6 linked regions of the Rattus norvegicus genome follow. The protein of the gene in region 1 purifies or fractionates together with the protein of each later gene. This does not show direct contact. Links are inferred from orthologs where the notes say so. Each region holds a gene or a part of one and is shown on either strand. Other genes may lie near its edges. The genes, in order: Smad2, Smarcc2, Smarcc1, Usp15, Skil and Tgfbr1.

What was found.
Region 2: the proteins of Smad2 (region 1) and Smarcc2 purify together in Homo sapiens (affinity purification with mass spectrometry; 3 studies listed by BioGRID, with this or other methods). This does not show direct contact. The link is inferred for Rattus norvegicus from reciprocal best matches to the Homo sapiens genes SMAD2 and SMARCC2.
Region 3: the proteins of Smad2 (region 1) and Smarcc1 purify together in Homo sapiens (affinity purification with mass spectrometry; 3 studies listed by BioGRID, with this or other methods). This does not show direct contact. The link is inferred for Rattus norvegicus from reciprocal best matches to the Homo sapiens genes SMAD2 and SMARCC1.
Region 4: the proteins of Smad2 (region 1) and Usp15 purify together in Homo sapiens (affinity purification with western blotting; 4 studies listed by BioGRID). This does not show direct contact. The link is inferred for Rattus norvegicus from reciprocal best matches to the Homo sapiens genes SMAD2 and USP15.
Region 5: the proteins of Smad2 (region 1) and Skil purify together in Homo sapiens (affinity purification with western blotting; 8 studies listed by BioGRID and IntAct, with this or other methods). This does not show direct contact. The link is inferred for Rattus norvegicus from reciprocal best matches to the Homo sapiens genes SMAD2 and SKIL.
Region 6: the proteins of Smad2 (region 1) and Tgfbr1 purify together in Homo sapiens (affinity purification with western blotting; 8 studies listed by BioGRID and IntAct, with this or other methods). This does not show direct contact. The link is inferred for Rattus norvegicus from reciprocal best matches to the Homo sapiens genes SMAD2 and TGFBR1.

Annotation. Positions count from the first base shown.
Region 1 is NC_086036.1:72,124,029-72,128,143, reverse strand, and holds the start of Smad2 (mothers against decapentaplegic homolog 2), read right to left. Parts: upstream 2,801-4,115; 5' UTR 2,644-2,800; intron 2,566-2,643; exon of another isoform or gene 2,381-2,565; intron 1-2,380. UniProt on the Homo sapiens protein: Receptor-regulated SMAD (R-SMAD) that is an intracellular signal transducer and transcriptional modulator activated by TGF-beta (transforming growth factor) and activin type 1 receptor kinases.
Region 2 is NC_086025.1:1,490,503-1,494,377, forward strand, and holds the end of Smarcc2 (SWI/SNF related, matrix associated, actin dependent regulator of chromatin, subfamily c, member 2), read left to right. Parts: intron 1-1,278; coding exon 1,279-1,675; intron 1,676-1,977; coding exon 1,978-2,397; intron 2,398-2,936; coding exon 2,937-3,013; 3' UTR 3,014-3,375; downstream 3,376-3,875. UniProt on the Homo sapiens protein: Involved in transcriptional activation and repression of select genes by chromatin remodeling (alteration of DNA-nucleosome topology).
Region 3 is NC_086026.1:118,992,556-118,996,055, forward strand, and holds part of Smarcc1 (SWI/SNF complex subunit SMARCC1), read left to right. Parts: intron 1-487; coding exon 488-607; intron 608-3,500. UniProt on the Homo sapiens protein: Involved in transcriptional activation and repression of select genes by chromatin remodeling (alteration of DNA-nucleosome topology).
Region 4 is NC_086025.1:60,643,111-60,645,708, reverse strand, and holds the end of Usp15 (ubiquitin carboxyl-terminal hydrolase 15), read left to right. Parts: intron 1-1,633; coding exon 1,634-1,816; 3' UTR 1,817-2,098; downstream 2,099-2,598. UniProt on the Homo sapiens protein: Hydrolase that removes conjugated ubiquitin from target proteins and regulates various pathways such as the TGF-beta receptor signaling, NF-kappa-B and RNF41/NRDP1-PRKN pathways.
Region 5 is NC_086020.1:114,200,773-114,204,776, reverse strand, and holds the start of Skil (ski-like protein), read left to right. Parts: upstream 1-1,204; 5' UTR 1,205-1,252; intron 1,253-2,805; 5' UTR 2,806-3,479; coding exon 3,480-4,004. UniProt on the Homo sapiens protein: May have regulatory role in cell division or differentiation in response to extracellular signals.
Region 6 is NC_086023.1:66,448,171-66,452,197, forward strand, and holds the start of Tgfbr1 (TGF-beta receptor type-1 precursor), read left to right. Parts: upstream 1-1,227; 5' UTR 1,228-1,309; coding exon 1,310-1,394; intron 1,395-4,027. UniProt on the Homo sapiens protein: Transmembrane serine/threonine kinase forming with the TGF-beta type II serine/threonine kinase receptor, TGFBR2, the non-promiscuous receptor for the TGF-beta cytokines TGFB1, TGFB2 and TGFB3.

The sequences.
Region 1 (4,115 bases):
TTCTTAGTGTCATAGGAGCTAACACAGCCCATCCGTCCCTCCTAGTGCCGTCCTTTACACCTGACAGAGAGCAATGCAAATAGCTTCAGGAAGTGGCTCTGGATGAATTATGAGTGCTCAAGCTCAGCTTATGCTCTGACATAATTAACCTCCTTACTTTGGGGCCTTTGGCCAGAAGACACAGGATTTTTATTTTCCTAATTCCACTGAGAAGTGTTGTGACTAGCCACAGAAAGTTTATTGTGTAAGTACGTATTACTTGTCCAATAAAGTGATACTGAATTCTTTATAGTCAGTTTCTGATACACCTTTGCAATACTTAGTAGAAAACTTCTTTGCACTCACAGAAACCAAGGGCCTAAAAATGTCTCTTCTGCTTTTACCCAGACAAAGCATCTAAAAAGATATGCCTCTCTCCACCCTCTAAAAAGGATTCTTGTCCCAAGAATATGAATAAACCTCCATCTGCCAGACTACACTATATACAGCTCCTGCATGCATTACAAAAGCACCTGGATAAAAAGGCTGCTGCAAACGTGGTTTCTGGAGTCCAAAGTATTCAGCCAACAGCATCCAAACCAAGCACGAAGGGAAACGGTTAGGCCCACAAGTCAAATCTAAAAACCCAAAAGGTCCTTAAGCACCAGTTCATGCAGCTAAACTACTTACGTTTGCCTGTGTGTTCACTCAGCCTCCCTAATGATAGTACTGACTACTGCAGCATCATCCTATATGTATACACAAAGGAAAGGGCTATACAGAAAACCATCCCCAACAGTCCTAATATGAGTTAAACCACACAACCAAGCCCAACGGGAAGTTACTCTGCAGTTTCTCCCAACACTGACTTTATGAGCCACACAGGGTGCATAGCTATTTACTGACAAGTACCTCAGAACCCCAAAGACCAAATTTTGCAGAACACTCTCAATATGAAATCACTTCAGGTGTACCTACAAAATTGCAACCAACAGTATTAGAGTAGTGTCTTGCTAAGGAACACAAGGAGGTTTATAATCCTAGTCCAGTGATTAAGCCTGGCCAGGGAGGACCCTAAACGTAGGTAAGTCAACTATTTTGTAACATTAAGCATGTACCTGGGCACTCAGTTTAAAAATGTCCTAAGACCACAACAAATTCTCTTACCTCCACAGGTAAGTTTATGCCAAAATAATTTTTAAAAATAACATCGATGTTACTTTATGAATTCAACATAAACATTTGCTAAATGACCTAATGAATTAGAAAAAAATCTCTTTATGACTAAATGGGAGAGGGATAAAAACCTTAAAACTATAATACATTTTGCTTCTCTCATGTCTGGATTCCATCTGCTTCACTAACTCATGGATTGAAACTATTCCAACTTCGTTTTAACTACTTAACACTTCTTTGTAAAGGGGGAAATTGCTTTTTACAGGAACCAAAGTAAACTAATAGGAAAGATATTCCCAGCATGGCAGCAAATGTATTTGTGTTAGGCTCAAGAGAAAAATCCTTTCTATTAGCGGTATGGGGTTAAGTCATGGAATTAGAAATAAGAGATTTTGGAAACTGACATTCCAGGGTGCCATTTTTGTAAAGATAACCTTCAGGTTACATTTATTTACATATGTCATTTCATTAGTTAAGAACACCGCCGTTTAGAATTCCCCAACAAGGCATAACAATAAGGTGGAATGCTGCTGAACTATTTCACATGTTTTGTTTTGTTTTTAAATTGGTGTGACAACAAACAGGTAGCGTTTGCCTTTAAGTGTAAAAGAAATGAATAACAAAACCAACCTCGATTTTTATTTTTCTTTTGTTTAGATTCACAAGGAAACCCTAACCTGCAAGGGTAAGAGGACAAAAGTACCTGGGGCCCAAGGACAGTATTCCTAGAAGAAAATAATCCAAGCACCGACTGTGAAAACCAAGTCTGAAATAAGTGCACTCAATTAGCATGCTTCCTAAAGGCGTGTGATTAGAAACTAATAGGCAGTACCCACGGAGCAACTTTCCCAAGTGCGTGGAGGATGAGCCCGGCAGCCTCAGCCACGAGCGTGTTTCTGAGTGCACACTATGATTCGGAACCCACGACTGTTACGGTTAACAAAGGCCACAGGAAAGAAGAAAAAAAAAAAAAAAAGGAAAAAGTAGAAGCAAAGTACCACACGCCCCTAACTCGGCTCCGGAGCCATTCTGCAACGCAAAGCGAGAGCGGCCGCGAGCCGGGACAGAAGCGGGCCGCAGCCAGGCTGGGCGGGGCGGGGGCTCGGGGCCCTGCCCACGGCGCCGACCCCGGCCCGCGCGCCACGGCCCGCCACACCCCACACGGGCAGCCACGTGACCCGGCCCCGCACACCCCTGCCCGGTCCCCCGGGCGCCCCGGCTTTACCTGCACCCAGCGCCTGGTCCCGGCCCGTCCGAGCCGGGCCCCGGACCTTTTGTTCCTTCCTCTTCCGACGGGCTCCGCGCTGCCGGAGGAGTGGGCGCGCGCAGGCGGAACTGCGCCGCGGGCCCCCGCCCCGCCCCCAGGCCCGCGCTCACCGCGGCCGGCTGGGGAGGGAGCCGCCTGCTCCACTCGGCGCGGCCCCGCGGCCCGGCACTGCCTGCACCCCGCGCCGCCGCCGCCCTCCGCCCCGGCCGCCGCGCACCTACCTTCGGGCGGCTCGCTCAGCGCTCGCGAGCTGCAGGCGAGCGAGCTGCTCCTCCACCGCCGCGCGCGGTAGCCCCGCCTCCCTCCCCGAGCCGCGGGCCCCGCCGATTCGCCGGCGCAGCCCCGGGCTGGCACCCTGCCGCCCGCTGATTGGCGCCCGCGGCCGCCCGTTAGGCGTGAGGCACGCCGGCCGAGCGGGCGCGCACGGAAGACGGAGGGAGCACGGCAGGGACGGAAGGAGGCCGGGCGCCGCGGGCAGGGCCGGGGGCCGAGCGGGGCGCGGGCAGGCGCGGGCCGCCGCCTCCCGCCTCCGGCCCGACCGGCGGCACGCGCAACCAATCAGCGAACGGGGAGCCCGGGGTGTGAGCACCGCGTCGGGGGCCTGGAATCGGAAGGGAAACGTCGCTCGCTGATTGGTTCCGCCTTCCCCGTCGAGCGTGAGGCGAGGCGAGGCCGGGTTGGGTGGCACGCCCGCGGTTGCGCTTGAGTTCGTGTCCGGCGCGCTCCCACCGGGCTCCGGGAGGATCGCGGAAGGCCGCGCAGCGTGCCACGCCCGCAGACCCCCGCCCTGGCGCCTCTGGGTGGAGCGCCGCGGCTAAGCCCTCGCCCACCTCCGTCGTGAGGCCGGAATGGACACGTGCTCGGGCCTGGGCCCGCCCCCAGCCGGGTCTGAGTCGCTGGACTGGCAAAGCTCTGGAGAAGCCAGGGTGCTGGCCGCTGAGGGGCGCGCCCTATGCAAATAAGTGGGCGGGGCCGCGCCCTGGGGGCGGGTGGCGAAAACTGCGGAGCTAGGGTTCTTGTCCGTGGGGTTGGTGTTAGGGCTGGGCCCCTCCTTGGGTGTGTTTCTCCAACCCGAGCCGTAGGTTCTTCTGAAGTAGAACTATTAGTGATAGCTGGTTCGAATGCTCATTGTGAAGCATGAGCAACTATGAGTGCTCCTTGATTTGCTGGCTTCTCCCTAGCTCATGTCCCTAACTGTGCCCCTGTTCCTAGACCCGTACTTCTCACCAAGTTCCCAAATTTAGGACTACCCGCAGTTTGATTTTGACTCAACCCTGGCAGATGAAAGACTGTGTTAGGATAATAAACCTAAATTTGAAATGCCTCTTTCAGGTTGCTAGTGGTAAAGAAAATACCAGAACGCAGTTTGCTTGGCTGTTGGTCATGCCCATCTATACTTAGCTACCTCTTCATAGGATTCCTGGGAGAGGCAAGTTAGTCCAGCAAGCCTCATGAGCACGACAGAGGAGTGCAGGAGTAACAACACAGTGTGCGAAGCAGTTAGGAGTGGAGCATGCTCTCTCCTCAGATGTGAGGGCATCCAGAGCAGGGGCCTTTATGTGGTCCTTGAGTTGTTTGCCCTTCCCTCCAGACTTAACAGGTTTTTAGATAGGCTTTCAAAATCTCCACCACTCTTCTCATGGGAAAGATGTAGCTCGCCCCAGATGCAAGCCAGTCATAGTTTCAAATGCAG
Region 2 (3,875 bases), on another chromosome or scaffold:
GGTGGGATGCTAGTCATGCTTTCTGGCCGCTGCACCTCTAGGTCCTCCACCGGTGCTTGCCTCTCACTAGGTTCTCACAAACCTGAGTGACTGAGTGGATTTGAGAGATAGTAAGAGACCCGGCAGGTAAATTTGGGAAATAGACAGAACAGACAGACAATATTGATTCAGTTTCTTTGAGAGGGCTGAAGGGGTTGGGGATTTAGCTCAGTGGTAGAGTGCTTGCCTAGCAAGCGCAAGGCCCTGGGTTCGATCCTCAGCTCCGGAGGGGGGAAAAAAAAAAAAAGAGAGGACTGAAAAAGAAATACAGCATGGGGACCCTGCTCTTAGAAACATCAAATATACAACATGGAGATCCTTAAACTACCGGAAAATTCAGATTCGGAGATGTCCTAGTGGAGTAGCTTGCGATTGAGAACAGATTGCTGTTCTAGAGAACCTACGTCAGCCCTAGGGGTTTCTCATGGGCACCCGCACTCACATGCACATGCCCTTACACAGACAGACAGACAGACATATCCATCATTAAAATAACTTTTTCTTAAAGATTTGTTTATTTTTTGTATATTCACTGTATATTCACACTGTCGCTATCTTCAGACACACCAGAAGAGGGCATCAGATCCCATTACAGATGGTTGTGAGCCACCATGTGGTTGCTGGGAATTGAACTCAGGACCTCTGGAAGAGCAGTCAGTGCTCTTAACTGCTGAGCCATCTCTCCAGCACCCCAAAAATAACTTTTTAAAATAAGAGATTTAATCCCAGTACTCAGGAGGCAGAGGCAAGTGGCTCTCTGTGAGTTCAAGGCCAGCCTGGTCTGCAGAATGAGTTCCAGGACAACCAGGTCCACATAGAGAAACCCAGTTTTGAAAAACCAATAAACGTATAAAAATAAAATTAATTCTGGGAGAATCAGAATAAAGTCAAAATTCAGAGGCCAGCGAAGTGTCTCCCTAACAAATAATTAAGTTTGTAGCTGATTTTGAAGGAAGGAAAGAACTTGAATTGACAGGAGCTCGAGGCATTTTCAAATCAGAATAATAACAAGTTCAGAGTTTTGAAATGAAGTGAACCGGAACCACAGCGGATTACCTCTCCTGCAGCGCAGCGAGGAGCAATGTCAATGGTCTCCGTCCCTGGGAGGGCAGAGGAAGCACATGGTTGAGTCTTGGGGAAACACTAGCATGAGATTAGGCTCTTTCAAAAGAAGAAGTGGGTCAGGGAGTTTGCCCACGTCTTCTGGTACCCGGTAACAGTTCCCACTGGTACCGGCAGCTGGAATATCAGAGGCAGCAGCTCCTGGCCGACCGGCAAGCCTTCCACATGGAGCAGCTGAAGTATGCAGAGATGAGGGCGCGGCAGCAACACTTCCAGCAGATGCAGCAGCAGCCGCCGCCGCCGCCGCCGCCACCGCCGCCGCCAGCCCTGCCCCCAGGCTCCCAGCCCATCCCCCCCACCGGGGCCGCGGCACCCGCGACAGTCCACGGTCTAGCTGTAGCTCCAGCCAGTGTGGCCTCCGCTCCTCCTGGCGGTGGGGCCCCTCCAGGAACCTTGGGCCCTTCTGAACAGATCGGGCAGGCAGGGACAACTGCAGGGCCACAGCAGCCACAACAAGCTGGAGCCCCTCAGCCTGGGGCAGTCCCACCAGGGGTACCCCCCCCTGGACCCCATGGTGAGTGTGCGTTCCAGAGTACTTGTTTGCTGTAGAGATGGGCAGATGTTCTGGTCCCTCTGAAGGGACACCCACCTGATGACTCGGATGTAAAAGTTTCTTGCAGGTCCTACAGGTGGGCTCCATTGTACTATGTCCCCCAACTAGCAGGGATGTGTTCCAAACAGATACCTGGTGGAGTTTCATTCCAAGAATCTCCTGCTTATTCTAGTCTCAGTACAAGGGGGTGGCACCAGCGGTGGCTGTGCAGCGGGTGCTGAGCAAGGTTCCAGTCCCTCACCCTGTGTTCTCTTCATTTCTAGGCCCCTCACCGTTCCCCAACCAACAAACTCCTCCCTCAATGATGCCAGGGGCAGTGCCAGGCAGCGGGCACCCAGGCGTGGCGGGTAATGCTCCTTTGGGTTTGCCTTTCGGCTTGCCGCTTCCTCCCCCTGCTGCTCCATCCATCATCCCATTCGGTAGTCTAGCCGACTCCATTAGTATTAACCTTCCCCCTCCTAACCTGCATGGTCACCACCATCTCCCGTTTGCCCCGGGCACTATCCCCCCACCTAACCTGCCTGTGTCCATGGCGAACCCTCTACATCCTAACCTGCCGGCGACCACCACCATGCCATCTTCCTTGCCTCTCGGGCCGGGGCTCGGATCGGCCGCAGCCCAGAGCCCTGCCATTGTGGCTGCTGTTCAGGGCAGCCTCCTGCCCAGTGCCAGCCCACTGCCAGGTGAGAAGGGGCCGGGAGGGGAAGGGTGAGGGAGAGGGAGGGCTCTACACTGTGGGAGGGAGGCCAGGAAGGAAAGGGCTAGAGCACGGGAGGAAGAAAGGCCTCTTGGCAGTCCTCCGTTTCCCAACTTGGCAGCTGTCACCTCTGGGTTGACGGGGCCTTTCACTGGTGGGTCGTGGAGGAGCCCAGTGGCTCAGAGGACGACCTCAGCTGTAAACCTGGAGCCTGGCCACCGTCTGCATGGCGATGGCTGCCCTTTGCTTGTTTCCACCACATGCAGATGCTCCACTTAGAGTCCTTAGGGAGAGGAGGATGGTCTGGGGAATAAGGAGTTCCCAGTGTCAGGTAGAGAAGAGTGTTAGGAAGAAGAAATTATACATAGTGGGTACCTCATTCATCCACCCACCCCTGCATGCCATGCCTGGGTCTGTGTGTGTGTGTGTGTGTGTGTGTGTGTGTGTGTGTGTGTGTGTGTGTAGCCTGGGACTGCAGCCATCCCTCTGCAGGCTCCAGCTCACTTACCTTCCTTTTCTCCACAGACCCAGGCACCCCGCTGCCTCCAGACCCCACAGCTCCGAGCCCAGGCACAGTCACCCCTGTGCCACCCCCACAGTGAGGAACCAGCCAGCTATCTCCCCTCACTCCCCATGGAGATCACAGTCCAGGAACCACCCTCCCCCACAACTGGGACCCTCCCTCAGCCTGGAGAGTTCATCACTACGTAAGGAAAGCTCCTGCCCCTTCACCACCCCACATGCCCAGCAGAGGTGTGCAGTTTTATATCCAATATTATCCACGGACTTCTAAGATGTTTCTAATGCCTGGGAGAGAGGATAGGAGGGAAGGATGTTTATTCAAGGTTCTATTACTGGTTCTGAGGGTGTACCTTCAGAATTACTGCAGTTTTGAAGTGATAACATGAAAATGAAACCCTTTAAAAGGGAGGTTTTAAAAAGACACATCTGAGACCACAAAAAAGAACTTTTTATTTTTATTTTTGAGGGGAAAGGGAACGTTTTAAGAGGAATTAAGTTTTGGGGCAGGCTGTGGAGATGGAACAGGGCACCAAGCCTGTCTGAGCCCCTTGGCAGTGCTGAGTCAGCCCCTCACCCATTCCACTTTATCAAACTAATCCCTCCTGCTGCTTGTCATTGTGGCTGTTAGGCCCAGCTCAGCCAATGACCTTCCCCTCTGAGTGTCAGCCTCGTGTTGTTTTTAAGTCACCTGCTCACTGTCAGCGTCTGTGTACTTGTGGGAAATGTAGTTTGCAGGGATTCTGTGGTAGGTAATAGAGGAAGAAGGGGCCTCAGGTGGGCTCTTCTTCCTGCTTTCCTGGTTGTATCTTGAGTGCCCAACAGGCATCAAACAAAGGTGGAGCTCTAAGAGGATGGGGAGTCTGCAACCCTTGAGTTTTGAAAAGCACTTAAGCACCTACTTTTGACAGTGGGACAGTCTGCTAACTTCTGCCCTCAGCAAGC
Region 3 (3,500 bases), on another chromosome or scaffold:
CTGCACCTATGTCTCTGTGAGGGTGTTGACTCCTCTGGTACTGTAGTTACAGTTGTGCCGTGTGGTTGCTGGTAATTGACCGTTCCTTTGGAAGAACAGTGAGTGCTCTTAACCATGAGCCATCTCTCCAGCCTGGTTTGTCTTTTTTGTGTGGATATTTATGGGTGCTTTTCCTGTGTACTCCATACATGACTGGAGAGGTTGTAGGATATCCTGTTAGAGTTACAGACATTTCTGAACTGCCATTTGGGTGCTGGTAAGAGCATCTAGTTTTAATTGCTGAGCCATCTCTCTAGCATTTATGTTCTGCCTTGAAGAATGTACTTGTATTATTTTTATGATTCTTTGCAGTTGAGAATGAACTTTATACACCTAAAACGTGGTATAGAGCCATTACTTAGTAGGTACTAGAAACTAACGTAGCATAGCTTTCTCTTCAGCATTAGCTATACCAGGTTCTGAATCCATGTCTTTCTTTATCTTGCAGTATGTTCATGCGGATGCGCCTACCAATAAAACACTGGCTGGACTGGTGGTGCAGCTTCTGCAGTTCCAAGAAGATGCCTTTGGGAAGCATGTCACCAACCCAGCTTTCACCAAACTACCTGTAAGTGCATGCACTTGTTATGTAGGGATCTTGAGTTTCTGCTTTTAGGTGTCACTTAGAGTTGATTTCCCTTAGTATTGCCAGGCATCATGGGGGTGGGGAGAACAACTTGTACAGAGGTGTTCGTTGGTTTGTTTTTGGTTTGTTACAGAGCCCTAGGCTGTCCTGCAGCTGTCTGCATTAGAGGCCAGCTATGGACTCTCCTTTCACCTTCACTTCTCCAGCTGGGACTACGAGCTGTGCTGTCATCGTCAGCCTAGTGGTTGGATTCTTGTGGGCTATGCCATTTAACGTCTTACATTCTGCAACAATCCCGAAGATGTAGTATTTCTTTGTTATGGTTGCTCTCTGCTGTGTTGTCTATACTGATACTTGTCTGTTAGAGCTGTGTGCGTCCGTGCGTGTGGATACATGCCTGCCATAGCTGCCAACTCTCAGGAGTCGACTTTTCCACCATTTGGGTCACAGGGAACAAACTCAAGTCATCAGTCTTGGTAGCAAGCACCTTGACCTTCTCTAGCACATGAAGTATGTAAAGGAATTTGTACAGAAGAGAACAGTTAACAGGAAGAGTGTCCTCAGCAGTGCCATAGCCACAGTACTCTAGTGGACAGCCATAGCAAAGCTTGTACAGAATTGGAGGCCATTCTCCTGCTGGTTTTTGAGCCTAGGGCCTTGTGCATACTAGCTAAGTTCTCTAACAGGCTTATGTGACTGGTTAGGATTAAAGGTCTGTGATAATTTCTATACTTCCTTTTTGTTTTGTTTTGTTTTTTTAAAGATTTATTTATTTCATGTATGAGTACACTGTTGCTCTCTTCATACACATCAGAAAAGGGCATTAGATCCCATTACAGATGGCTGTGAGCCACCATATGGTTCCTGGGAATTGACCTTTGGAAGAACAGTCAGTGCTCTTAACCACTAAGCCATCTCTCCAGCACTTGATAACCTGCTTGATAACCCAGAGTTCCATACTTTTCCCTCCCCTCCTGCCCCTCCTGCCAAGTTCCACACTCTTAAAACATCCTTTTATGTTTGCCCTTGTGCTGGAGTGCTTGTATACCCTCCCACAAACAAGTAAATATAGTTTTGTGTTCTGTTTTGTTTTTCAAGACAGAATTTCTCAATGTAACCAGGATGGCCTCGAACTCACAGACATCCACCTGCCTCTGCCTCCCAAGTGCTGGAATTAAAGTCATACACCACCATTTCCAGCTAATAAATACAAATTTTATCAATTAAATTTTTTTCTTTCTTTTGGTTTTTTTGTGTTTTTTTTTTTGTTTTTTGTTTTTTTGTTTTTAAGACAAGAGTTTCCCTGTGTAGCCTTGGCTGCCCTTTAATGCACTCTGTTGACCAGGAGCTCAAAGATTCTGCCTCTCTCTCTGCCTCTTAAGTATTGAAATTAAAATTGTGTGTCACTGGGGCTGGAGGGATGGCTCAGTGGTTAAGAGCACTGACTGCTCTTCCAGAGGTCCTGAGTTCAAATCCCAGCAACCACATGGTGGCTCACAACCATCTGTAATGGGATCTGATGCCCTCTTTGGGTGTGTCCGAAGACAGTGACAGTGTACTTATACATGAAATAAATAAATCTTATTTTAAAAAAAATCGTGTTACCATACCTAGCTAATAAAAATTTTAAATGACTATACTTTTAATTTTTACTTATGTATATGTGTGTATATGTGTTTTATATGTGGCATGCACATGAAATAAATCTAGAATATATACAGCACCATATTATTATTCAGTGTAGTTTATCAAATGTCACATGATTTAGAGTAAAATATGTAAATATGTAAAGTACTTTTTGTTTCTGAGACATCTCTAGCTCTGGCTATTCTAGAATAAAGCTTTTTATTTGCTTTTGTTTTTTTTTAAAGTCTGGTGTAAAAATACATATCTTTAATCCCAGTACTTGGGAGGCTGAGGCAGTTGGTTCTCTGAATTTAGGGCCAGCATGGTGTATATAGTGAGTCCCAGGACAGCCAGGACTACACAGTGAGACCCTGTCTTAGAAACAAAACAAAGAAGGTGTTTATTTTCTAAAATATGATTCTCATTCTTTTGTCACTCCTAATTGTGAGCATGTAAGTGTCATCACTAAAAATGACATAGGGTGCGCTAGACATGGGGTTTTAACTCCTGGGAACTAAGCCATTATTTACTAAAAGGGTTGACTGATAAGAGGAGAATATTTTTAGTCATAAATGATATTTAAAAATAATTCGTGGCTGAGGGCCAGATGACCAGATGTGTTTATTTTCCTCTCAAACTTGAAATCAGCATTTTTCTCAAATGAAAGGTTTTTCTGGTTTGTGATTCTCTTAAAGGAAATTGCAGAGAGAGACAGTGAACAGAGTTGATTTTGCTTTTTGAGACACAGTTTTTGTTTTGTAGCCCTGGGTGTCTTGGAACTCACTCTACATCAGGTTGGCCTCAGATCTCTGCCTCTCTCTGCCTTCAGTGCTGGGATTGAAGGCATGTATCACCACTACGTCAGCCCTGCCCACTATTTATTTACTTTTAAAAACTTAAAATTTAAAAATTTTTAATTATTCTGTATCTGTCTGTCTTGAGTATAGGTTTGTGTGCTCGATTGCAGGGTTTGTAGAAGTCAGAGGAGAGCCTCAGAGCCCTAGAATTGGAGTTTTAGATGGTTGTGTATCGACACTTGGGTGTTGGCAACCTCAAAAGTAGTAAGTGCTGAGCCACTTCCAGCCTCGTAAATATGGTTTTATTTTATTTGTTCATTGTTATTTGAAATAGGATTTCTCACTCCCCAGCTGTAAATATAATTTTTTTAAAAGATTTATTATGTATAAGTACATTGTAGCTGTCTTCAGACACACCAGAAGAGCGCACCAGATCTCATTACAGAAGACTG
Region 4 (2,598 bases), on another chromosome or scaffold:
TAAGTGTGGCTCATATTTAAAACTATTGTTTATTGTTTCTTTTGAGAACTGTTCACTGGCCCATTTATTGGTTGACACTTTTGTTGTGGGGGTTGAATTTTTGTAGTTCTTTATTTAGATTTAAACCCTGTTTGAAATATATGTAGTAAAGATTTTCTCCCATTCTGTAAGCTGTCAGTTCATTCTGCTCATTAGTTTCCTTTGCTCTGCAGAACCCTTCATCTCCTGTAGTGTCCTATGTTCATTCTTGGTAGCCTGGGCAATCTTATAAAGTGATAAAGGAGCCATGAAGATGCTCAGTGGTTAAAAGCACTGGCTGCTTTTCCAGGGACCCTGGGAACTCTTCCCAGAAACCAAATGACAGCTCACAACCATCTAACTCCAGTTTCAAGGGATCCAGCGCCCTCTTCTGGCTTCTATAGAACCAGGTTTCTCATTGATGCTCAAACATACTTGCAGACCAAACACCTATACAAAGTAAAAACAAATTTAAATAAATTATAAAAGATACACCTTTTATTGGACACTAGCTCTCAGTCAGGACATGAAGCTTCAGCCTCAGTTGAATCCTTCATAGATAGGGGTGGGACAGGTGGTCATGCTCAGGTGCACCAGGCCCTCCGCGGTGACCCCTCTTTGGTGGTAATTGTATCGATCATAACCTCTATGCAAACCTCCAGCAGTGCCGTGACGGGGTAAAGTTCCACATCAGTACCCAGCTTCCAAGTCTAATCAACAAGCTACTTCTCCTCCAGTGGCTCAGGCCATGCCACCCTGCAGTCCTGGGTTAGCAAAGCCCAGTTGCCTGCAAGGGCTGCTGGGAAGGGAATGCATACCCTTGAAAATAGTCCTTTGAAATGAGTATTTTCAAGTTGGGAATGGTAGCACACACCTTTAGTCCCAGCACTCGGGAAGCAGAGACAGGCAGATCTCTGAATAGGAAGGCAGCCTAGCCTATAGACTGAGTTTTCCAGGACAGCCAGGGCTACACAGGAAAGCATGACTCAGAAAACCAAAAAGAAAAAGAGATGTCTTTCGCATATGTGAATTATACAGGAACAGGTTTCTGTATGACATTTCAGGGGTGTGAGTAGTGTCCTTCGGTAAGCTTTATTCTCTGGACTTGTCCCATCTACTCCTGCCCTTTTCTGTTCCTGATTGTCACTTTTGTACTTTCTTTTTTTTTTTTTTTTTTTTTTTTTTTTTAAAAAATCAGTGTTCTCCTAATAAATACTGGAGAAAAGTTCAACATGTTTAACCACCTGAGGAAATGTTATATAACAGGAAAAGTTGCACTAGAGGTCCAGCATAAGCTGAAACACTTGTTGTTAGATAGAAAGATACTCAACCTTCAAGTAAATAGAAAAACTATTGTGTTTTATATTATGGTAAGTATGTTAATTTATATTTTGACTATATATATTTCTTAGTCCAAATTATATAGAATTAACCTGTTTATTTTTAAATATAGAAATAATAATATTTAGCCAATTTTAGTTGCTTCCTTATGATCATGTGTAGTTTTACTATTTGTTTTTTTGTCACTAAAATTGGTTATTAGCTAAAACTTTGTGCCATATCAGCTATGATTTTTGTGTGTTGCCACCATTGACACACCTTACTTGTTCAACAGTCCAAAGCAGCATACGTGCTCTTCTACCAGAGACAGGACACTTTCAGTGGAACTGGCTTCTTCCCTCTCGACCGAGAAACTAAAGGTGCTTCAGCTGCCACAGGTGTCCCCCTGGAAAGTGACGAAGACAGCAATGATAATGACAATGATCTAGAAAATGAAAACTGTATGCACACTAATTAATGAAAGTCCAAGAAGCCATACGAGAGAGAGAGAAAGAGAGAGAGAGACTTTCCTGCCGGTGGTATCTGTGGAGACGGAGTTACCCACCGCATTAAACAGAGGTCTGAGAGGAGGCGTTTCAGATACCCGAATGTAAATCCTTTATCAGATTTTAACTTGTGCAGTACTTGAAGTGAAACACAATGAAAACTTTAACAGAAATTGTCTCTTAATACATTTACAGTCTTGTATTTACAAGCTAAATATATATAGGAAATCACAAATAAATCCCTTTTAAGTTTGCTGCTGTTTTGATCAATTATGTTTTCTTTAATTTTTGGATGTGACTTAATTGATGACAAATGTTAACTTTGTGGATGTTGGTCATTAATTTTGCTCTAATAATACTGCAAGGAAACTCTGGCTGAACTTGGTTCTTGGGTAATCTAGTCCTGTGCGCTAGGCTGGCTGTCTGCACCTCTCGGGTACTTAGCTGCTGTCAGTGTGGCCCAGACACTGCAGTGCCCTTGGTACACCAGATCTCCCAGTCTGTCTGTCCCTGGTAATCAGTGTGGGTCTGTTACCACAACCCGAGGAGCAGCCTTGAGGAAGTTCCCTTTTGTTGTATCATTAAAGTGCAGAACATTACGTTTATCTCGCTCACTGTGGGAACACGTTCTAGATTTCACATGCCATCAAAATCATTTTCAGCTACATGTAAGTATCTTTCACTGCAATTGGAATCTATAAATTTTTCAATTTTGTTTTGGTTTAAAATGCTTATCTTCAATTCACTGTTGGTT
Region 5 (4,004 bases), on another chromosome or scaffold:
ATCTTCCCCCACCTCTTACCGTCTCTGGAAAAAAAAAAAGAAAAAGAAAAAAGAAAAAAAAAAAAAAAAAAGGAAAAGCCCGAAAACCCCAACCAAAGTGCTTAGTGAATTAGAACCGGTCACTTTATGGAGGACGAGAGCAGCTGGGGCAGCAAGGTCTGCCCCGGCGGTGCTGAAACCTCCGCCTCCCGGGCGATGGCGGCCCGGGAGGCGACCGGGTGAGGCCACCCCAGCGCGGCCAGGCGGGGCTGATCGCCAGCAGCTGGCAGGGCGGCCGCGGCGGGAGGCCCCACGGGGGCGAGAGGCCCCGCGACGTCTGCGCGCCGGCGGGGGGGGGGAGAGCTGGGGGAGGGAGCGCGGGGGGAGCACGGGGGCAGGTGGCAGCGCTGAACGGGGAGGGTGGCAGCGCGGGGGCGTCTGCGCGGCGGGCTCAGCCCGGGGGTCGCGGCGGGGAGCCACCCGCAGGCTACCTCCGGGGCGGGGCCAGGCGGCCAGCTGCGGCCGCGGGGGTGGGGGGCTGTTGGCCGAGTCTGACCTCGGGCGCGGCCAGCTGCCGGGGTCGCGCACAGTGCAGCCCGCCGCGCCCTACCCCCTCTCCGCCTTCTCACCCCCGCCTTGCCGCGCGGCGGCCCAGCGGCCAGGGCGCCCCCAGGTCTGGCCCGTCACCACACGGCGGCGGGCGTGGCGGGGGCGGCCCCAGACAGCCGGCTGGGCGACTCGAGGAAGGAAGGAGGGCGGCGGGGGTGGGGCCGAGGGAACATCCTGTCTGCGCCGGGCACCGCAGACAGTGCCGTGCGCCAGCCGCCCAGACGGCGCGCCGGGCCAGCCAGCAGCGCGGGGCACGCGCGGGAGGGGGCGGGGGAGCGGGAGACCGGCGCACGCGCGTGCGCGGCGGAGGCACCAGGCGCGCGCCCCGGCCAGGGCCGGAGAGGCGCGCGCAGCCTGAAGCGCGCAGACCGCGAGGAGCCACAATAGGGCAGACGGCGCGCGCGCTCGAGGGACTGGCTGGCGCGGGGCCGCGCGGCGCCGCTGGCTTAGTTCCCTCCCCTCCCCCGCCCGCCGCCCTCGCTGTCCCCCGGGCGGCCGGAGACGGCGGCGGCGTCTGCGGGAAGCCGTGTCTCCGCAGTGACGTGGGCGGGCCGCGGGCCGGGTGACGTCAGAGGCTGTGTGTAGCGATGTGTGTGGGGTTCGGAGCGGCGCCGGCACAGCGAAGGCGGCGGGCGAGCGACGGCGACGGCGACGGCGGGCACAGGTGCGGCCGCAGGTCGCGAGGGGACGTGAGGGGCGTGCGGCCTCTGGGGGCGCTGAGGCGGCGGCGGGGGGGTTATGGGGAGGCCACAGAGCCCGTGGGGCTGTCCGGGCGCCGAGGGCCTGAGTGGGGCGTCCGGGATGCGTGGGGTCCCGGGCGGGGTCGAGGGCACAGGGCGCGCGGCGGGGGTCCCACGGGTGTACAGGCCTCGCAGATTCTAGGACGGGTCGGCTGGGAGGGGATGGCGGTGCACTTGACCCGAGCCGCCGGGACCCGGGAGACCTGGACACCGGTCATCGCCGCCATCCCCCGGCCGTCTGCGCTCGGCGGGGATGCCTCGGGCTGGCCCCATCTCTGAGCGTCCAGCGACGCAGGCTTCCGGGCTTGGCGCCCAACCTGCCTGCGCCCCTCTGGGTGTTACGGCTCAGGGTGGGTCAGTGGTGGGGAGGCGCAGCCCTGGGGCGCAGAGGTAACCCCAGAGAACTTCCCGCGGACCGAGTGCGTGGGGGATTTCCACCGGCGGCCCCCGCAGTGGGGCGATGTGGGGAGGGCACTTAGGGTGATCCCGGTCACAGAGGTGGGGGTTGGGAGGACTCCTACTTCCTCTGCCCCCTCTCACCTCACCAGACGTCGGGAGTCCTCTGCTTCCCGGTCCTTCGGGTTGATGATGAGTGGGTGTCTCTGCGTGTGCGCAGGGCTGCGGGGGCGCCCCTGGTCTAGGTCATGCCTCCTGCCCTTTTCCTTGGCTCGCCTTGGCTGAGGTGTCCCTGTAGTGGCGAAAGTCACAGTACGGTGGCTAGGTGGCTTTCGTCCGTAATTCTCTGGGTTTGTGTTAACATAAATTGCTGGGAGTTTAGAAGCAAAGGTTTTTATTTATCGGCTTTTATTGGGTTTTCTCCAGGGAGGGAAGTGGATGAATACTCTTTTTCGCCACTCTGCCTCCATTTGCATTCTTTGTGAGGTCTGTCTGCCTTGTGCTTTTTGTCCCGGATTAGTCTTGCTAAAGGATGGAGATTTCCAGGCATGGAGTCTTACAGCTTTTGGCTTCCATTAAGCAAATTCGCTAACCTTTTAAAGGGAAAGTTTTTCTTCTTCTTCAATTTAAAAAGATAGTATATATTGACTAGATGAATTAATCTGCTTGAGACTTAATTACATATGGTAGGTATATTAACATGTATCTTTTGCGGGGTGGGGGGAGAGCAGAAACTACAGGGTTCTTTTTTCTGAAGAGAAAGGATTACTTTTTAAAATTTAAATGGCATGCATAGTTGAGAAAGCCTCTGCTACTGCGTTTTGGTTATCCGTATTCTAAATTTGTGTACTCTTCCTTGTTTGGAGAGATATTATTTAATGCTCCTGTTACCCACGGTCTGGACTGCTTCCTATTTAGATGAAGTTTCTTTTAGATAACTGGTGTTAGGTTGGAAGAAACCACCCAAGTGTTACCTTTGGCAAAGTGAACTGAGTTTAAGATTAAGAAACTGGTTTTAAACAGACCCTTTGGCCTCTGGAGCTAATTCAAATGTAACTCTCCCCACCCCTTTCTCTTCCAGATCAATTAAAAGAAGAATGAACTGTAATCCCTGAAGATAAACTGGGCAGCTTTTTTACTTAGTGTATGTATATTGCTAATTATAAAAGTTCAGGTGGAGCCAGGCTCCTGCTGTGTGGAGATTTAGACAAGTCTTCAGTTTGTCAGCACAGAGCCACAGACCACCATTTTCAGTGAGGATACCTGCCTCTTCTTTTTTGGTGTTCTTGGCAAAAACTAAAACCATTGCATCATTGTAACTCGTGTTTGGGTGTAGTTTCAGGATACAGTCATGGCATAAACTTTCCACATGCTTTGCTTAAAGAACAAAACCAACCAAACTCAACCACTATACCAAACTTTGGACTTCTTGAACTGAGGAATTAGCTTTATTTTAACATAAATAGCTGAAGTGCTCAAGAAAACAAGACTTTTCTCAGGGGTGTGCTGACAATTATACCCTTTGTTATTAGAAGCGAATTGAGAAGTTTTGTAGTATTTTCAGTTACATCCTGAGAAACGGCTGAACCGAAACAGAGTTGTACAATCTATTGAGCAAGAAAATTCATCTTTGGAAACTAAACATTTCTAAGTGAGTCACAAGTATTTGTATACGTTGCCTTTTTCTCTTCAAATTAGGAACTGAGAACAACATGCCAATTGAAGACTTAATTATTTAAAAACACCGGTGTGGCCATGGAAAACCTGCAGTCTAATTTCTCCTTAGTTCAGGGTTCAAATAAAAAGCTGAGCGGGATGGAGGATGATGGCAGTCCTCCCGTGAAAAAAATGATGACAGACATTCATGCCAATGGGAAAACGCTGACCCAGGTGAAGAAGGAGCATTTGGACGACTACGGAGATGCGTCAGTGGAACCAGATGGCGAGCACGCCAAGCGCAACTGTCCTTCTCTACCTGAAACTTTAAATTTAAACCCCAGTCTGAAACACACACTGGCACAATTCCATTTAAGTAGTCAGAGCTCTTTGGGTGGACCAGCAGCTTTTTCTGCTCGATATTCCCAAGAAAGCATGTCACCGACTGTGTTCCTGCCTCTTCCGTCTCCTCAGGTTCTTCCTGGTCCTCTTCTTATTCCTTCTGATAGCTCCACAGAGCTCACTCAGACTGTTTTGGAAGGGGAGTCTATTTCTTGTTTTCAAGTCGGAGGAGAAAAGAGACTGTGTTTGCCCCAAGTCTTAAATTCTGTTCTCCGAGAATTT
Region 6 (4,027 bases), on another chromosome or scaffold:
TCAGACCCCAGCTCTAACCCCCACGGTTTGCTTTCATAAGCAGGATCAAACTCTTGGAGAGTGGCTGTAAAACAATTTACTAACAGATACTAGAGGCCGGCTGGTTCCTACTACCGAGCTTCATTTAATTCCGAGTTCAAATCATACAGAAAATAAAATTTTCTCCTTAAAAGGTTCTGCGGAAAAATGCTGTCGGTGCCATGCGGCCGCCTCCGTGACTGTGTTTGTGTCTGAAGAAAGGACTAGTCTGACAGGAAGAATTACAAATCTGGAGCTCATTTTGGCATCCCAGAGGGAAGGTGGGTGGAGCGTCTCACAGTAAATTAGGAATTCAGAATGAAAGCGGAGCTGAGTTTATTTGGGTTTTTAGTGACACCTCGAAATTATTACACAGGCGTGTCGGAGACAGCTCTAAGTACCTATGACTGCTCCCGCTTCGCCCCGAATCCCCCATCATTCAAAACCCGTAGGCCTCTCCGCTTCCACGCGGGGTCAGGAAGGTGGGAGGGAAGGAGAGCGGCGGGGACCCACAGTCTGTTTATACTGCCGAGAGACACAGGCCACTCAGGGGTGTGTCTGAGCTCCGCCTCGGGATTCAGAATCTGGGCTCCGACTTTGGGACTGGAATTTGAGGAGGGCAAGACTAGGTCTGGGGCGGCCATAGAGTGCGGGAAGAAATCGGGTTATCTTTGCGGGGAGGCTGGGAATTGAGGAGCGGGTCTAGGGAGAAGAAGTTGAACCGCGGACCGTATTGAGGGTCGGAGTGGCGATAGTTGAGCTTTGCCGGTGCAGGACTGTGCAGGGAAAGTCAGGGTGGGGTTGGAGTAGAAGAAAAGAGCGAGCAACGTCCACAGTCTTTCCCTGAGCAACTCTTACGGGCACACCCAGCGCTTAGTCCGGACTGCGGGCTCCCTCGGGCGCGCAGGCTGGACCCTGCCCCCACCCGCCGGTAGAGTACGAGCTACCCTGCTGTGGCTGGAGTATAGGCGCCCAGCGGTGAGGGGGCGTGGCCAGAGGCCCAGCAGTGCGGAGGCGTGGTTAGAGGCAGAAGTCCAGGGCCGCTCATTGGCCGCCCAGGGGCCCCGAGGGCGGGGCTCTCCGCTGGGTCCCTCTAGGGCGCTCGCGGGCGGCGGGGGAGGCGGGGTCGGCGGGAGCTGGGCAGCCAATGGGCGTGCGCCCCTCGAGCAGTTACAAAGGGCCGGAGCGAGGCCGCAGCGGCGGCGGGGAGGTGGGGCGAGGAGAGGCGAGGCTTGTTGAGGAGAAGCTGAGGCCGGGGCCGGGCCGGGCCACAAACAGTGGCAGCGGGACCATGGAGGCGGCGTCGGCTGCTTTGCGTCGCTGCCTGCTTCTCATCGTGTTGGTGGCGGCGGCGACGCTGCTCCCGGGGGCGAAGGGTGAGTGGCGGGCGGGTGGCTGTGGGGCGCGCGAGCCGGGCCCGGCCTCTGGCTCGCTTCAGCTCTTTCTCAAACATGGCGCGGGGCCGGGGGCGCAGGTGGCGGCGCCGGGCCGGCCGAGCTTTCCTGACCCGGCAGGCGCCACGCGAGCCGGGGCGGGGAGGAGAGGCGGGGCGGGGGCGGTGTCGAGCGCGGGTGGCCGAACACCGAGCGGAGGCCTGCCCTCTTGGGCTCCCGGGAGCAGCGGCTGGCGAGCCTGCTGAGGTCTGTGGCTGCCCTCGGGGGTGTGAGGCCGGCGGGGACCGTGGCCCCCTGATTCCACTGCCTAAGTGCTCTCCGGCCTGAGACTGTTAGGGCGTGGGCGGGCACCGGCGTGGAGGCGCTCCGGGGCTCGGCGCGTGGAGGGCTCCTCGGAGGGTCGTAAGGGGCGCCGTGGGCAGAGATCCCGGGTGGGCCGCACTGCTGTGAGTGTCGGCGCCCGCCTAGGGCGACTTTTCTTCAACCGGGGGCTTTGTGTGAGAAGCAGGCGCGAAGATGCGCGGAATGTTCTCTCTTCGTGCGTCTGGGAAGAGTTGAGAGTTCAGTAACCAGAAGATTGCCTTGCTAGTAGAAACTTGAACGTTTGCTCACTCTGCAGACTTGGGATCGTTTGAATGGGAATGATTCTGTAGAATTGATCAAAGATTTCTTTTTCTCGACGGGATCGTTGCTTTGGGTGTATCGTTTCCTTAAGCAGTAGTCTTAAAATCAGACCTCTATGTAGCTGGCTTTTGAAGGGAAAATGTGTAGTTTTCCAAAATATTAAAACCGGCCGTGATACGGTTGTCACCCCGTGGAGGGAAGATTGAAAAACTTAGTCCGGAACCGATTAAAATAGGAGAAAGCAAAATACTGAGGCTCAGATTAGCAACTAAAATACAGTGAAAATACATGTCTGTTGCTGAAATTGGATAACATTTTAAAAAGCAAAGCATACCAAAACAAAAATCTCTCCAGACTGTGGATGCCAGCTGTTATTAAACTTAATAGTAACTGTTTATTGGGAGTTGATTATAATGCAGATGTAAAAGGCACAGTATCTCGGGGCACAGAACCCTCGGGGCTACCAGTACTTGTCCTGTACATTGACTTGAAAACTGAGGTGCAGGAGATTACGTTCTTAGTAAGTGCAGAAATTAATTTGTACTTAGGCCTTTCTGGGCTCAAAATCAGTGCACCTGCTATACCGTAGCATAGCCCACTTAAAGAACAGTTGATATTTGACACTTAGAACTTAGCCATCAGTTTCTTAGTTTACTTGAACTTGAACAACCTAGTACTTGAACATTCCCTTCACAAAGGTCTTCATTAGAAGATACCATGGGTTTTTGACATTGGCTTAGGAAGGGAATAACGGTGGACAAAGTGGGGGAATTGTTATAATTATTCACCAACTATAAGTGGCCATATCTCTACAATTATTTGAATAAAGTAATTCTTTTCTACCTAAAACAAAGCAAGACACGTTCATGCATTTAGCAGTATTGACTTAGATGCTGAGAAGGTTGGTCCGTGTCCTGGAGGATTTTATTACTCAAAACCTAGACTAGTACTTCATAAACTTTCCCCGTTTGCCATCCTCTTTTCTCAAAAGATTGTACGTGACCTTGAGTACAAAATGTAGAAAGCAAGTATATAATTCAGATGTGCTGATAATAGATCATAAATGAAATTATTTTAAAACAATTCATTGGTACATACAATTTTACTATTTATTAAAGATTCAAGCACATTTTCATAGTAATGAGATGGGTGAGTTTATTTTTACTTAAAGAATTAAATCATCCAATGCCAACGACTCCATATAATTGTTTAGGGCCATTTCAGACATTGTTGAAAATTCTCTCTTAATCACAAGATGAAATTTATTTAATAATTTTTTATTTATATAAGTATGCTGTAGCTGTCTTCAGACACACCAGAAGAGGGCATCAGATCTTATTACAGATGGCTGTGAGCTACCATGTGGTTGCTGGGAATTGAACTCAGGACCTCTGGAAGGGCAGTCGATGCCCTTAACCACTGAGCCGTCTCTCCAGACCTCATTTAATAATTTTTAAAATGAAATTTAAGTCAGCAACTTAAACAGCAGTTTTTAAAATCAGACATTCTAACACAATACAGTCGATCTACAATCGATCACAAATATACCACTTTGATATACATGAAGGATGAAAGCCTTTTCTGTATGTATGTTTCTGGAAGAATAGAAAACTTTTTATTTAATAAAAAACATTAAAACTTATAAAAATAAATGTTAGCACTGCATAACACGACAGCAAGTGTGTTTAGAACCAAGGGTGTTGTGAAGTTGCATCATGTAACACAAGCATGCATTGCCAGAAACACTTCAGATTCATTACTCATTTGATTTTTAATTAATTTGGAGTGTTATACATTCAGAAGTCCTTGAGTATTGCCAGATTGTTGTATGACCCAGCACCTCTATAAGGAGTTAGGATTCAGTTTAAGAAGCTATGGCCTCTTGGTCCTGTGAAGGCTGGATGCCCCAGTGTTGTAGGGGAATGCCAGGGTGGGAAGGCAGGAGGGGAGCGGGTGGGTGGGGAGCACCCTCATAGAAGCAGGGGGAGGGA